Linked DNA regions of Drosophila melanogaster. The protein of the gene in region 1 purifies or fractionates together with the protein of each later gene. This does not show direct contact. Each region holds a gene or a part of one and is shown on either strand. Other genes may lie near its edges.

Region 1 (7,058 bases):
CTCGTCTCGTTTAGAAATCAACACAATTCCGATACATTCTGATTATGATGAATATACGTATATGTACGAATGTCCTGAACATGAGTTTGTTGAACGATCAGGTAATTAGGACCTGGGTATGAGCCAAATAGTCTGGCCATTGGACTGTCTTCTAAAAGCAATGGGTATCGCCAGTTCCGAACTCCTTCTTTCTGCTTTTTGCTCATTTGCAGCTGCGGTGCTGCCTGCTCCCCTTGCTTTTGCTGCGGCTGTGACGAAGAGAGCTCTCGGACGGACGCCCATTAGTGAAATTGGTAGGAAAATGCAGTTGCAGGCGACACGAAGTAACGCAAAGAAAGTAAGAGAGCTCAAAAGGGGCACCCTGTATGGCGTATGCTGTGCGCGATATGCGAAGACGACAACAACTTGTTGGCCCCTACGTCAGCGCGTCTGACGCCCCACCTCCTTGGTTTTCTCCTCGTCTGTCAGCGAGTCTCCGCGGTTCAGACAGCATCCACCCATAGTCCCCTCGTGGGTCTTTGGCAAACGCCCCCGCATAACTACGAAAATAGCAAATTGTTAATTTCGCTTCGAAAACTCTTTTCCAATACACACACGAAATCGCAAATCGTCGAAGGAAATGGTGGTGGGTATTTGGAGGAGGAGGGGAGGGGACACATGATTTTATTGGCATGCTTTCATGGTTTTTCCGTGCGAAACATTTCATTTTTCATTCCACATTTTTTAACACGCTGCTACATAGGACTATTTGTGTGGGCTTCTTCTTGTCGGTGGAGAGAGATGAAATTTATGAAATTTATTAAATATGCTCGCCACACACAAAATCAAGGATAGCTATTAGCTAAACCAATAAAAACCACCCACAATAAGTGTGGACACACTGCCGTCTCTCTCTAACATTCTACCCCTCTCTTTCACTCTGTGTGGGAGCTTTCAAAAGCTCTAGATCATTTGTGTGAATGGAGAATCTGAGAATACGTTCATGTTAAATAGCCAGGATCTCCGACGGCTAAGTATTGTATCCGTCGACTTGTCCCAATTTACAGATATTCCTTTGGGGCGAGATATACAGATAAGATACAACGATATAGAAAGAGATAGAGCCTCAATTTGGCTATTTATAGAACATAATGTGCGTCGTCAGCGGCGAGTTTTGTTCTTTTTTCAAAAACAATATCTATTCTTAGTCGCTGCTTGTGCGTTAATACCATATTTTTGTAAATACATACTAACATACATTCCCGCTGAGACATAAATTTTATAAAAATTGACCAAATGCCATCTGAGAGGCCGCAACATCAAGGTGAGGAGTGGGGACCATCAGGCGATGGTCCACAAACCAAAAATCAATGCCTAGGGGACGCGAACAAGGCGTACAGTGCGGTTCGAAAGCGAAAAGCGATCCTTTCATAATCACAATAGAAGGGATTTCTAGTTGGTTAACATTTTACACATTATAAGTACAAGATCGTGAAATCGTTGGGATCATCTTTTGAATGAAATGAATTAAATTTAGACTGGCTATTTTCGAAGAGTTTCCGCAGTGAACTTTATTTATTACCTCCACCTAATTATATCACAGATATATTAAAAAAAAAAAGAAAGCCACCCAAGGGGCCGGCAGAATAACTAATTTAACTAGTAATACAAAACTTGTTAGGCGGAACAGAACATAGTATGATTTATAATAATAAAACTGAAATATTGAAACATCCGCGCAAATAGGCATGGATGTATATACATTTCCGCCTTCGAGAAAGTCACTCGATTTCTTCTTACAGTCCTGAAACGCACCGCTTATATACGCAAATAAAGCCATATATTTGTGTGGACAATGGGATTAATCGCAGATCCGCAGATAAAACGACCATATATCTTGTTATGCAGTTTATATTTTTTATACATAGATATATTTTGTTGGTTTTCGTCGGTGATTTTTGTATCTCGCATCTAATTGATAACGTTTTGGGTAAATTTATGTTAAAAAGTAATTACAATTGATTTAGAACGGGGCCAGCACCGCAGATATGCGCCTGCTGACATATATATTTATGCTGAATTTGTATGTTTACATACGTCTGTAGATCATAACTATGCATTAATTTTAACCGTTATTTTAATATCTTTACTCGTTTAGCTTTAGTTTAACTTTTACTTTTACTTTGCTTGTGTGCATTTTCTCGTTCGTGTTTTGTGTTCTTTTCAAGTTTTGGATTTTGTTTGTTTTTCGTTTACTGGGACATAAACGTCGAGGAGGCTAATCTTCATCTTAAGGAAAACATTTTCTATATCAATAATAATAATAATATTAGGTAATAAAAAAAAAATAAACAATTACATACACATTTTGCGTAATATTAGGGGGCTTTTGTAGGGTATAAGGGATAGAGAGGAGAAATGCAAACAAACGCAATCACAATGAAACATTTTTCGGATGGAGAACGGGGGAGACTTTAGAGTCGGGACCCTACTCCAGTTTCATCGCCAGGCCGGGTGGCGGCGGCGCCTCCAGCTGCTCGAGAAAGAGCTCCTCCAGCGGCCGGTCGCTGGTAATGCGGAAGAGGAACAGGTGATCCTGGCACTTCAGGCTGATCGATCGCAAAGCGGGCAGACGCAGCAGCAGTTGCGCAAAGCGTCCATCGTCGCCCGGATGTTCCAGGCGGCAGTGCTCGTCCAGGCAAGCGTACACCTTCTCGCGGCACATCTCGATCTCCGCCCGGCTCTTGATCCCGCGTATGTCCGGGTTGTACAGTATGATGGCCTTCAAGCAGGACAGCTCGCGTCGGTCGAGATTCAGCCGCTTCATCTTTACACTCAGCTCCGACAATATGCGGTCGAAGATGGCTGACACACCGGCTTTGATCGCACTGTTGCGATGGTACGAGAAGCTCTGGTTGAGGAACAGCTGCTGGGGCTGAAGGCCCGGTGATCGTCGCTCAAAGGAGCCATCGTGGCCTAGTCCACCGCCCCCGCCGCCGGCACCGCCGTCATCCAGCGAAACGATGCTGCACCAGGCCACGTTCGCAATGAGCAGCTCGATCCAAGCGGCTTTCAGCAGAATCACCTGGTCGTCCAGCGGCACCTGGGCAAAGTGCGGCATCATGCGCGCGTATTCGACCATCTGGAAGAGCTGTTTGTTGACCACTTGGCACAGGGCCGACACGGCACCCTTGTAGTCCGGCTGGACTGTGGAATAGGGACCAACGCGCAGGAACGTCAGTGCACGATCGCCGCATTGGGTCTCCGCTCGCTGCTCGGCCTCTATGATGCGCTCGATCGAGAAATCCCTGGACACGCTATTGGTCATGAAGTCATCAGAACCGTTGCCGCTGCCCATTCCGCCAGAAACGCCGCCTCCTCCTCCTCCGCCTTGAGAGCTGGATCCGCCTACCGAACCTGGACCGCTACTGCCGCCTCCGCTGGCGCTGAGCCTACCCGCCGCATTGCGGGCGCCGCGTTGACGCTCCTCCTGGACCGCTTCGCGCTTCATGCCGCAGGTTAGGCACTTCTGGTAGCGGCAGTACTGGCAGCGGTTCCTCTGCCGCTTGTCTATGATGCAGTTGCGGTTCTCCCTGCAAGCGTATGTGAGATCCTTGCGCACTGTGCGTTTAAAGAAGCCCTTGCAGCCCTCACAGCTGTACACGCCGTAGTGCTTGCCACTGGCCCGATCCCCGCAAATAGAGCAGAGGTGCTTGCTGCCGCTCAGCGGATGGTTAGGCGGATACTGCTGCTGGACTGCAGCGGCGGCAGAGCCTCCAGCCGAATTGGGCGCCTGCGCCATTTGGGCATCTCCAGCGCTGTTGTTGTTGGAGCTGGCGGAGTTGGAGCCGGGCAGCACGTGGACCATGGACATGGCCTGCATGAAGGGCACGGGACTCTCGGCCTTGGGCGAAAAGCTGCTGTTGTTGCTGTCGTTCAGCTGCGAGATGTCCGGCTTGACCTCCTCCTTGATGTGGCTCAGCCGAAAGCTGGCGTCCTGGTCGCAGTTGTCCATCCTGGGCTTGTGATGTGGTGCTGGGTATATTGGAGGAACTGGGGGCAGCGCCTCCTCCGCCTACCGGTTTCTTCTTGCTCGTTCTCTTCGTGTGTATGTGGTGTGTCTTGGCTCGCTTTCGCCTCTCTGTTGGGGTTTCACTTTGCCAACGCCACCGTGTCCGTCCGTCCGCTATTGGTCCGTTGGGCCAAGTGGAGCAGGTTGCAGTTTCGTTGTTGGTGGGGTCGTTGCTGCATTTACATAATCTTGAGCCGATGGAGCAGCGCACTTTATTCGCTCGCCTCCAAACAATTGCGCTTTTTACCAACAAACAAAGAATGCCAGACTTTCTGACTAATGAATAAATACCTTTTTTCGCGTCGACATTTTTTCTCAACAAAGACAATCTCACCACAGCGACGCAACTCACCAACGTAGGGATGGACTGTGACACAGGTTGCGTCGTCACGAGTCACAGTCACGACTGTTAAACACTGTATAAAATTAACAACGGCGATGGTATTACCTTAAGTCATATGGTATATAACGCATCTATAAAATTACATACTCCTCTTTTTAATTAATGCACGACATAAGTACATATATCGGTCTCCCAATTGAAGCACGGATTCGTGACTGGGCGCAATCGCATCTCTAATTCACCACAAAGTGGACAGGGCTGTTTTCCCACTCACAGAAACAGTTTTAAGTGGGCGTTAATGACCCAATTAAAGCGCTAATGCCCATCGCACCTGCCGCAAAAATAAGTGTTTTTACTTTGATAACCAATGCGCAATCAATCAATTAATTAATTTAGTCGAAAACCAGAAAACGGGAGTAGCGACAGCCCTGGCGGCGCCATTGCAAAACTCACCGCACCTACGGCGCATGCAACCCTGAGTCAGTCTGGCTCCCCTCCTCACCGCCTTGCAAACCACACAGTGCACAAATAATTTAGCGCCGCTGCAATTATGCAGAATAGAAATGCAAAATGGAGACGTGAATGTGCGCCAATTTCACCGCTGCCGGCGGCAACCTCGGCCTCAAATCGCAAACGCCGTCGCCGAGAATCGAGCGGTTAGGCTGCTGAACCGTGAATCCCAAGACCAAACGGAACCAGAATTGGGCGAAATGCAAATGGAAGTGCAACTTACTTGCAGCCAGTGGCTTTTGATGCGCCGCAAGGTGACGGTTGTTTATTTACTTTTTTCCTTGGCTATCAGTTATCAGTGCTCGCGAGCACACACACACACAGGCACGTCACTGACACGACAACACCACACGACGCTGATTTAATTTGTTGCAATCTCTATTGTAATTGTAGTAATTGAGTCCATCCCATCATCACAAAGAGACGCGACGCGGTAATTGGCATTCGCAAGAAGAAGCATTTCGCGAAACAACAGCTGACAGCGTGGTGAGAAAGCGATTGCGGGGGGCGAAGAACTGGTTTGTCTGTGGTGAGTATACTGTCGCGGTGAGTTGCCTTGGTTCGGTAAAAAACAATGGCACATTATAGGCTGTTTCCACTTCGCTTAATGGTCAGAAAATCTGAAAATTAATCCGTCATGGATATTTATGTATTTTATATATTTATGCGATAGTTAGACCGCAGTAAATTTCTAAAAAATGAATTTCCGCGATGACCAAGAAGCAGGGATTCAGTAATTCAAGAGCACCCTAACATCTGCCTTAAAATTCGATACCGGTTTAGAACAAAAATGGGAGATTCAAAATTTATATAGAAAAAAATTTGCTTAACACTATCAAATTAAGAAGCTTATTTTAAAACAGTTTAAGGGAATGGAAATAGAGTTTTCACATCAAAATTGACATTCAGGACATATATTCTTAATATTTATTTGATTATTGGTATACAAAAAATACACTAATATGTGATATTTTCTATCAGTTTAATTTTCTGATATCGCAATTTGGGGCCTCAGCCCTAAACAATTTATTTCTATTTGGGTCTATTATCTTGTCAAACCCTTTAGTTGCTAACCCTGTACCTACCGCTTCCTTTATAATGAAATGTATCGAGTTCTTTTGTTTAGCTCAGCCTTATTACGTTTTGCCTGTCGGTTTCGCAAATATTCGGTTTTGATTGGTTTTCAGGCGAATAGTACGATAAGCAAATGCGACTCGTTTGTTTGTTTACGGCTTTTAATCAACATCCGAATCCGAACATTCATGTAGTTTGCTGAGTTCAGCATTGAGGACAGTAAGGGCTCCGATCCGCTGGTTAAGATATTCGATCTCTTCTCGGTACACGCCCGTCTCGTAAAGTAGATTCTCGTACTCCCTCATAATTCCAATATAATCGTCACTGCTGCTGTTGTCGTTACTGTTGTTGTTGTTGCTGCTGCAGCTGCTGCTGCTGCTGCTGTGACCTTGGCTCCGATTATGGCCGCCCCAACTGCCACCCTGAGCCGATGCACTTTCCGGAAACTCCTCAAAGTCCAGATAAAGCTGAAAGTAGGCGGCATCCTGGCTGCGGCAGATAGGGCAAGTCCTTGATCTGCAAAGCAGACGGAATCCGCGTATAAGACAAAACGTTTGAGCTCGGCGATAAGATTTGGGGCACTGCCACTGATTTAAATCACTTTTGTATCATTTTCATTTCTGATTGGTGCATAAATTAGAATATTATATCAGTGGCACATTTCATTTTCGTTATAGCTCTCAAGTCCTTAGGATCACTTTTACTTACTGCTTTCTCCAGTGGTCTAGGCAGTCCTCGTGGAACGCGTGTCCGCAGCTGCCGGCTTGTATATTGTCCGAGGTGCGAAACCGCTCCGAGCAGATCGTGCAGATGACGTTGTTACGGCCCATTCCGCTCCGGTTGACTTATACCTAGGTCGATTCGATTCGCTCCGATCCAATCAGGTTCGATCTCCCTGTGCCGTATTGTTGCTCGGCCGGTGACAGGGGACTGAATGAATGCAAGTCGCTGAATCGAGCGTTTTGCTGATAAGCGTCCAGGCAGCCACAGTACACTCCACTCGGTCCTCCTCTTGTCGTCACTCGTCGGCCCTCTCGAGCACTCCCCTGCACTGCCGCACTCCAGTGCCAGCCCACCTTA
Region 2 (8,638 bases), on another chromosome or scaffold:
TAAGCTTGCGTAAACAAGAAAATAAATATTACTGCTTATATTAATTGTTCTTATATCTTCCATTAAAACAAATAACAAAAAGAATCTAAAGCTAAGTAAATGAGTTCATTTTAAATCTTTTTAAATCGTTGCCAAGACACATAAAATATTTATTATTACCTTTTTTTCAGTTATTTTAAATTTTTTGCTAACAAATTGGTTCACCCTTTTAACGATTTTCCGTGCTTAGTGAGCTGCCCTCTTAAATTTTTCATTCATTTTATGAAGCCAGACAAACAACAGTGAAACAGTAAAAACATGCGATATAAGATACCAAAAATTTGGGAATCTTTGTACTAATTGTTATCACATAATGAGCGTAATGTTCAGACTACTTCCTCAGTTACACTTCATATCTTCATATATAAAAAAAAGTGTTATTTCGCACACCTGTTTATGCTCAATTATCGCAACTGAATTAAGACCCAAGAATGCGGGTTCCGCTGTACTTAAGCAAATTATATAAAAAGATAAGCTATATCTCTCGGCATCTGTGCATCTGAGGTTGCTTACTATCTTAAACGTGTAAGGAAACCGTGAAGACAGTCAAGATTCTCCCGCCTGCGTAGCCAAAGATACTATGATTTCGGTAGCTCTGATTATCTTGTGCTTTTTTCCGTTCGTGCAAAATGAGTACTTTCGTCCTTCGTACCAAGTCCTTGTGCGCAAAAGGAATACTCAAGGAGATTTGATCGACGGCCATTGCTATGGCAATATCATTCAGAGTCGCTTGGTTTTAACATCAGCATCGTGTTTATTGAGTGATAACGATTTCGTAAATGGTAGGGAATTGTTAAATGCTGATGAGTTGGCGGTATCATTCAAAGGCGAAGATTTGAACGAGTTGATATACCTCGTTGGTGGCATAGACGTATATCCGCAGTTCAATTTCTCATCGTTGGACAATGATATAGCGATCCTAAGTCTCAGTACGCAACTTCCGCTTTCCGAGCGAAACGATATTGAATGGGTTTTAGTCGCTGACTATGATATTACCGATTTTCCATTGGAGGAGGGTGTGGAATCTTACGTAAAAACATATCCTTTTATGTGAAAAACGATTTTATTAATATTAAAATTACTACCACAGGTTTGGAAAAATGCGGATGGAGAAAACATATATCCCGGTTATGGTGTTATTCATGAAAGTAATTTAGTTGGAATCATTTCCTATGGCTTGCCATTGAAAAATAAACGGGAATCTAATCTTGAAGTTCGGCGCCCAAATAGGTTTACGCAATTAAATCCATATTTAAGTTGGATATATACAATAATACAGAATACAGAGATTGCGGACATTCAAAATAACAACTACAGTGTATCTCTACCTTATCGTCAAAGAAAAATCGCAGAAATAGGTAATGTAAACCGAAAGTTATTTGCTATATTTATTTTGTTGTCAAAAGTAGTTTATCGTTTGCGGATTAAGAGAAACAAATAGTTTCGTAGAAACTTTCCTCTGCTTTCCCGAGAAAGATTAACTGCATTTTGATAAGAATATTTCTATGATAAAACTAAAAAGATCCACTTTTAGCCGGAATTTTAAGGTCTAAAATTTATAACGCTTTTCTTTTGGGAAGAAGGGTTATCTTAACACATTTATCAAAAATCAAATAAATATCAAAGGTACTTTACTAAAATTTTTATAAATCCATCAGGAATTTTATTTTTCATTGTTATCTAATTACATATAATTAATTAGTACATTTTTAAATATTTTTCAGTGGAGGAATTCGTTGAGCCTGATGCGGTGTATTTTCCAGACCCAGCAAACCCCAGTAAGTCTAATTTATTCAGTTTTATTTTCTAAAATAACTTTAATTTGAATATTTAATTTCAGTTAAAGATGAGATTGAAACTGAGGTAGAAGATTTGACGGACTCAGAAACTGGTAAGAAAATGAATACGGCTGTTCTACTTCGTAATTACTTTTACAAAATTTTTAAATTTTTTTGTTTTTCCTTTGCTATACTTATTTACCGAGTAATTGTTTTTAGATGCTGTAAACGTGGAAAGCGTCTCAGAAGATTTTTTAAACACGGAGGACCCTTGTAAGTTAATTCATTGTTCTATTGATATTTAAATATTACATTGATTGTTTGAATAATATAGTTTTAATTAAAAACTACCTAAAATTTTGTTTATCTTTCAGTTAATGAAAACATTGAAAGTGAGAAGGAATTCCTAAAAAACCGAGCAAACACATCTAAGGCCAAAGGAGTTTGTGCATGGATATTCACATTTAATTTTCTTCTAGCGATAACTCGCACAATAAATTTCCATTTTTTTTAACTAAATTTTCAATTTATTTTTTGATCTTCAATAAGATCAGTTTCCATAACTTAAATGTATATTTTATCTGAAAAGTATCAAAAGAACTGCATTAAGATTCAAATTTTTAAAACATAAATTGTAAACAGCATCTGTATTGATTTGGTGTATAATAAATTGTTATCAGCTAACGCGAAAATAAAAATTATTTGGTCACAGTTTCCCACAATTTTCCAATCGTTCCAGTTCCGTTATCGATTGCGCAGTGAGAAACTAACTTCAAAAAAGGCGTGACACGTCGACGATAGAAAAATGTATCATCTCTAAGAATATTTTAGTGTCATCTCTAAACTAAAAATATAAATAAAAAAATATTTTAAAAACTACGCTGTATTTTGCCCACGCTTCTAAAACCCAGTAGATTTAACAGTTGGTTTAAAAATGGGGCAACTAACTTTCGAAGATGATTGCCTGATCCGCGAACTGGATAGGTACGATTAATGCCACCCGCTCGAATCTTGTTTAATAATATTTACGTTTCAGTCGATACTACGGCTTTTTGGATTTGTCCAATTCGAAAAATGCGGAATTAAGGAATCTCGTTCAGCAGACCATCACAAACTTACAAAACTACATTGCAAATGGTCAGGTTCACGAATCAAAGAACAGCAGTGATAATAAAAATGCTATACAAAAGTTTGAGCCATCAACTCAAGCAGGTGAACATATGGAAAACACATCTTCCCGAAACAATGACGACACCAAACCTTTCGAGCAAGATGCCAAGGAAAAGGTGTCCATCATTGAAGAAAAACACCAGGATGAACACTACGTTAACGCTCTTTGCAAACTTGGCCACCTGCATCTTCTTCTTGGCGAATACTCCGAAGGTAAATACATAAATCCAGATGCACATGTCCAGATACAATCAGTGCACTCTGCAAATGACATCTATAGGATATATAGGATGCTTGTAGTCCTCACAAATTCATATATTGTGAATATCTGGTTCTTTTACCTTACATAATGTGTCAGGTGGAACAATTGTTTCCAAACTCGGGAACATAGTTGTAGAATGCCGCATTAATGACACACTTTAACATTAAATACTGCTAAACTGCAGAGTACGACGCATAAATAACATAACACTTCAATCCATCACGAGAGATCCTGAAAGAATTGAGTTGTTTTTTAATATCTTATTCTTTTTGTAGCTTTATCAGCGTACCAAAAGTATTTAAGATTCCGAGAAAACAATTACTGGACAAATCATGCATTTATCTATGGAATAGGCGTTGCTTATTTTAAACTTCGGTGCTTTAAATGGTAAGTTTACTTATCTTTTTAATATTTTAACTGCTTAAATATATTTGTTGTATTTAAGAAATATCTTTATGCTACGTTCAAAAACAATTAAGTTATATTTAATAATTAAAACCCATTACATGCGATTTTGATATGAATCGTTTAAACGTAGATGCATGTGCAGTGGAAGCACATTTATTTATCAATTGTAATCATCGATGGCTCTTATCGATGTATACGTTTCGCTTTCATATCGTTCCCATTTAATCACGATATCGCGCCTGTCACATCCCTATTGTATTGATATTAAATTGTTTACTAAATAGATTCTACACGAAACAACACTGCCACTAATATTATATATATATTTGTAAACAATTCACAACGAATTAAAATTAAGACTGCCGAGATTTTTTCGAATAAAAAAAGTGCGTTTACTGGTTAGTTTTGAATCTTTTCATAGTTGTCTGGGTTCTAAAGAAAAAAAAAACAAATGGATGCTGTAAACATTAACACTTACAATAATAATAATTAAACCGATGTAATATTGCCAAAAATTAAAATGAATATATGTGTTTTCATTGTATTCCTTTGTTTGTTTTTGCAAATTCGCTGTTATAAAAATACATAAATTCTCGTTACATGCATGCATGTATGTACACGGTGCGTGTGTGTGCGTGTGTCTGTGTACAAAATGCAATGAGTGCCCCCCTTTAAGGTCGTTAGTTGAATTGCGGGGTAAAATGTGTTCTTTGTTTAATTTTATTAATTTCGAAAGCTAACATTTAGGCAGACCGCGTCCGACGCAAATAATCAATGATTCTCAGTGCAATTCTATCTGATAAAAAGCCATGAAACGGTCTGTCTCGTTTTTTTGAGTGCACGCAGACATGTCTGCCGACACGACGGCTGCAAGTTCTATTGTTATTTATAAACAAAACCTGCATTTTGCAGGCATATTTTAGGAGATTAACATTTAAGTTTACTGTTGTGCACTTATCATCGGAGTTCTAGTTTAATTAAGTATGTTACTTGAATTTGTTTGTTCAAATGGTTATTTGTATGTATGTATGTACATACGCGTGCATGTGTGTACGTGACTGCATGCACATAAGTATGTATGCACTTATGTAAACACCGCTCACTGTAAACAATTACTATAAATTAAATATAAAACAAAATTTAATAAATTAAAATAATACATTCAAGTTATAACAAATAATTCAGAACAACGAATAAAAAAATTAATTTACTTACTTTTTTCCAGGGCCATCAAATCGTTTCAGGAGCTTTTATACCTAAGTCCCAATTTTACATGTGCAAATGAAGTTCATTTGCGTCTAGGTCTTATGCTAAAACACTGCGGGGAGTTCCATATTGCCCTAAAACATTTACAATTGGCGCTGCTTTATACATATCCTTCGACCTTTTCGGAACTTCAGGGTAAGATCTATTGAATAATTATAAACTTTTGCATATAAGTTTCATGTGTAATTAAAACTGTGATCTGAAAAGGTTTTTCTGTTCTTCAGTTATTTACTTATCATCTTAAAATGTTATCTTATTATTGATATATAAACAACTTATATGCAAAAAGTCCTCATACATTGAATTATCAAGTAATACGATGAAGGCAAACTTCTATGATTCATTCAGAATTTAAATATTTTGCAGTACGTTCACCCCGTGTCTTAAACTTTATTCATTATTAATACTTTGCAGTCAAATTTCAAATCGCGCATTTGTACGAAGTTCAAAACAAGCACAAGGCGGCAAAGGATGGCTACGAATTTCTTCTAAATGAGAAAAACATCTCCTTGGAGCTCAAAGCAGATGTTTATCGACAATTAGGTAAGTTAAAAAGTTATATTTTAAGCTGGTAGAGACATAACTTTTTATTGAATCCTTATAGGATGGATGTACCATTGCGTAGAATGCCTAGGCGAAAAAAAGGAACGTGAAGCAAACGCATTAAATTTTCTACAAAAATCAATCGAAGCTGACCCAAAGAGTGGACAATCATTATATTTACTAGGAAGGTGTTACGCCGGCATCAATAAGGTTCATGATGCTTTCCTAGCATATCGCAACTCGGTGGAAAAAAGTGAGGGGAATGCTGATACTTGGTGCTCAATCGGGTAAAATAACAATGAATGTGTTTAGCTTGGCCCCTATCTTATTTGTATTCTACACATGCACTTCTAGCGTCTTATATCAGCAACAAAATCAACCCACGGATGCCCTTCAAGCCTACATATGTGCTGTGCAACTGGATAAAGACCATAAAGCCGCGTGGACCAACCTGGGTATACTTTATGAGAGCTGTGGTCAATTACGAGATGCCTATGCTTGCTACTTAAATGCAACCAAACAAATATCATTCCAGGTAAATTTATATATGCAATTGTAGCCATTTCCAATACCTAACACACTTGTTTTGCTTGAAGAAGTCTTCGTTAATTCGAAAAAAACAAGCAATACGTATGAAAAAGGACACAATTGGACTGTCGAAAGGCCTGTCTCAGAGAATCACTTTCCTGGAGGGCCAGCTCAGTCAAGCACCATTGCCAAGTATTACATCCAAGCGCCGCCAGCTGTGTTCAATCGAAGAAGCTTGGAACCTGCCAATATCATTAGAAATGAACTCTCGCCAACAACAAACAGCGCAGATGCTACCAAGACAGGTCACAAAGCAAAGTCCAGTACAGGTGAATTCCTTAATCCTAAACCAATCAGTGGGCAATCAACTAAATCATGTTTTTAAACAGGGACCGCCACCACCTTATCCGCATAGCCAACTCAGCCAAAGTCCCATACCTTCGAAACGTATTAAGGAAGATGGCACAAGCCAACAAGAAGTAACACAAAACAACAGTCAGACATCAGCGCAAAATCTAATAAGTAAGTGACCAATTTAAATAGTATATATCTTAAAGTATTAAATCACTTTTTAACACTCCAAACAGACATTTCGGAATCTTTAAACCAGCGCAACTTCAACGCCATGCCGGAGAGCAACAAAAGTTCGGAGCAAAGTGTTCTTGACACCTTCGACGACATCTCGAATGATATTTATAAACAGAATGAGAGCATCAAGCTCGAACGTTTGAGCCAGGATGCACTGAGTAACAATGAGGACTCGAGGCATGATTTTATTGGCGGTGACAACGCCGACATCTCGACCACGTTCAAAATACAAATGGACTCGAAGCAGTTGATGGTAGCTGTGAAGCTGCTGCCGATTGATGAACCGCCCGTGCACTGTACCATTTTGCAAGTGAATGCGCCGCCGCCATCTCCGCCCGATTGCCCACCGCAGAAACTGACGCGAGATCAACTCCTGCCTCCCACACCCTCTGTTCATTTAGAAAATAAGAAGCACGCGTTCAGCCCACAGTTGCAGGAGTTTTGCCTGAAACATCCGATTGCCGTTGTACGCGGCTTAGCGGGCGTCTTGAAGCTAGATCTCGGTCTCTTTTCGACCAAAACGTTGGTGGAAGCCAACCCGGACCATAGTGTTGAGGTTCGGACACAAGTGCACCAGTCTCCCGATGAAAATTGGGACACTTCGCAGGGTAAGCGCGTCTGGGCCTGCATTTCCCATCGGTCTCACACAACCATAGCCAAATATGCCCAATATCAGGCATCCAGTTTTCAAGACAGCTTGAAGGTAATGTTCGTTGGGTTGGTTCCTCTTTAACATGAATACAAGTTTACTTTATCGTGTAGCTTATTTTACCGCAGGATGAAAGCGATAAAGGTTTCCCCGGCTCGCAAGCAATGTCGGATTCAGACTCAAAGGACTCGGTATCCAATTCGAACATTGTTCTCAAACGTAAAAAACACAAAATAAACAGCAAAATGTTGAGGTAATAGAAACTCCAAACCATTTATGTCTGCATTACGAACTTTATGAACATAAATTAAATGCTTATTTCGCTTTTTTTTTTAGGTTCGGGACCAACGTGGACCTCTCCGATGAAAAGAAATGGAAACCACAATTAACAGAGCTACAAAAACTGCCAGCTTTTGCGCGAGTTATATCCGCTGCCAATATGCTATCACACGTGGGCCACGTCATTTTGGGCATGAACACCGTTCAGCTGTACATGAAGGTGCCCGGAAGTAGGACGCCTGGCCACCAAGAGAACAACAACTTCTGCTCAATCAACATCAACATCGGTCCTGGCGACTGTGAATGGTTTGCCGTCCCTGACGCCTACTGGGGCGGAGTTCACAATCTTTGCGAGAAGAACAACATTAGCTATCTGCACGGCTCGTGGTGGCCCGTCCTGGAGGATTTATACAAGGAGAATATACCAGTTTATAGATTTATACAAAAGCCCGGTGACTTGGTTTGGGTGAATGCCGGGTAAGCACTGAATATGAAAGGAAGGATGATGTATTAACAATCAAACCTACTTTCAGATGCGTCCATTGGGTTCAGTCGATCGGTTGGTGCAACAACATTGCGTGGAATGTTGGACCCTTGACTGCCCGTCAGTATTCTCTTGCCATCGAGCGATATGAGTGGAATAAAGTGCAGGCCTTCAAGAGCATTGTGCCGATGGTGCATTTAAGCTGGAATCTTGCAAGGAATATTAAAGTGTCTGATACCAAACTTTTCGAGCTGATAAAGTGAGTTAGCAAATGATAGGAATCACCATTATGCAGATACTATAGGGCATACATATGTAATTTGTAATTTTCAGAATGTGTTTGCTGCAAACGTTGAAAAACGTATTGCACATACAAGAGTATGTCAAATCGAAAGGTGTGGAAATACGTTTCAATGGACGCGGAAAGAACGAAGCATCCCATTACTGCGGACAATGCGAGGTATTTAGCGTAGTATTATTAACATATTTATACAGTTTCCAAAGGTGATATGAATGCAGTTTATTTAATCATTTGTGCACTCTTTGCAGGTTGAGGTTTTCAATGTGCTGTTCATCAAGGAGCAGGAGAAACGACATGTGGTCCACTGCCTATCGTGCGCGCTGAAGCTATCTCCGTCGCTCCA

What was found.
Region 2: the proteins of usp (region 1) and Utx purify together in Drosophila melanogaster (affinity purification with western blotting; 2 studies listed by BioGRID). This does not show direct contact.

The regions. Positions count from the first base shown.
Region 1 is NC_004354.4:2,036,920-2,043,977, forward strand, and holds usp (ultraspiracle), read right to left. Parts: upstream 5,393-7,058; 5' UTR 5,128-5,392; exon of another isoform or gene 4,949-5,127; intron 4,726-4,948; 5' UTR 4,542-4,725; intron 4,468-4,541; 5' UTR 3,995-4,467; coding exon 2,468-3,994; 3' UTR 1,879-2,467; downstream 1-1,878. Other genes in the region: CG4325 (uncharacterized protein), read right to left, coding at 6,140-6,494, 6,687-6,808. UniProt on the Drosophila melanogaster protein: Receptor for ecdysone. May be an important modulator of insect metamorphosis. Plays an important part in embryonic and post-embryonic development. Binds to ecdysone response elements (ECRES) such as in the promoter region of s15 chorion gene.
Region 2 is NT_033779.5:10,272,812-10,281,449, reverse strand, and holds the start of Utx (Utx histone demethylase), read left to right. Parts: upstream 1-2,638; 5' UTR 2,639-2,751; coding exon 2,752-2,801; intron 2,802-2,853; coding exon 2,854-3,200; intron 3,201-3,524; coding exon 3,525-3,636; intron 3,637-3,898; exon of another isoform or gene 3,899-4,055; intron 4,056-4,288; exon of another isoform or gene 4,289-4,638; intron 4,639-4,882; coding exon 4,883-5,058; intron 5,059-5,337; coding exon 5,338-5,466; intron 5,467-5,527; coding exon 5,528-5,753; intron 5,754-5,820; coding exon 5,821-6,001; intron 6,002-6,062; coding exon 6,063-6,323; intron 6,324-6,383; coding exon 6,384-6,516; intron 6,517-6,581; coding exon 6,582-7,285; intron 7,286-7,344; coding exon 7,345-7,484; intron 7,485-7,567; coding exon 7,568-7,987; intron 7,988-8,043; coding exon 8,044-8,253; intron 8,254-8,327; coding exon 8,328-8,454; intron 8,455-8,543; coding exon 8,544-8,638. Other genes in the region: CG34043 (uncharacterized protein), read left to right, coding at 620-1,069, 1,130-1,397, 1,764-1,817, 1,880-1,930, 2,037-2,090, 2,192-2,331.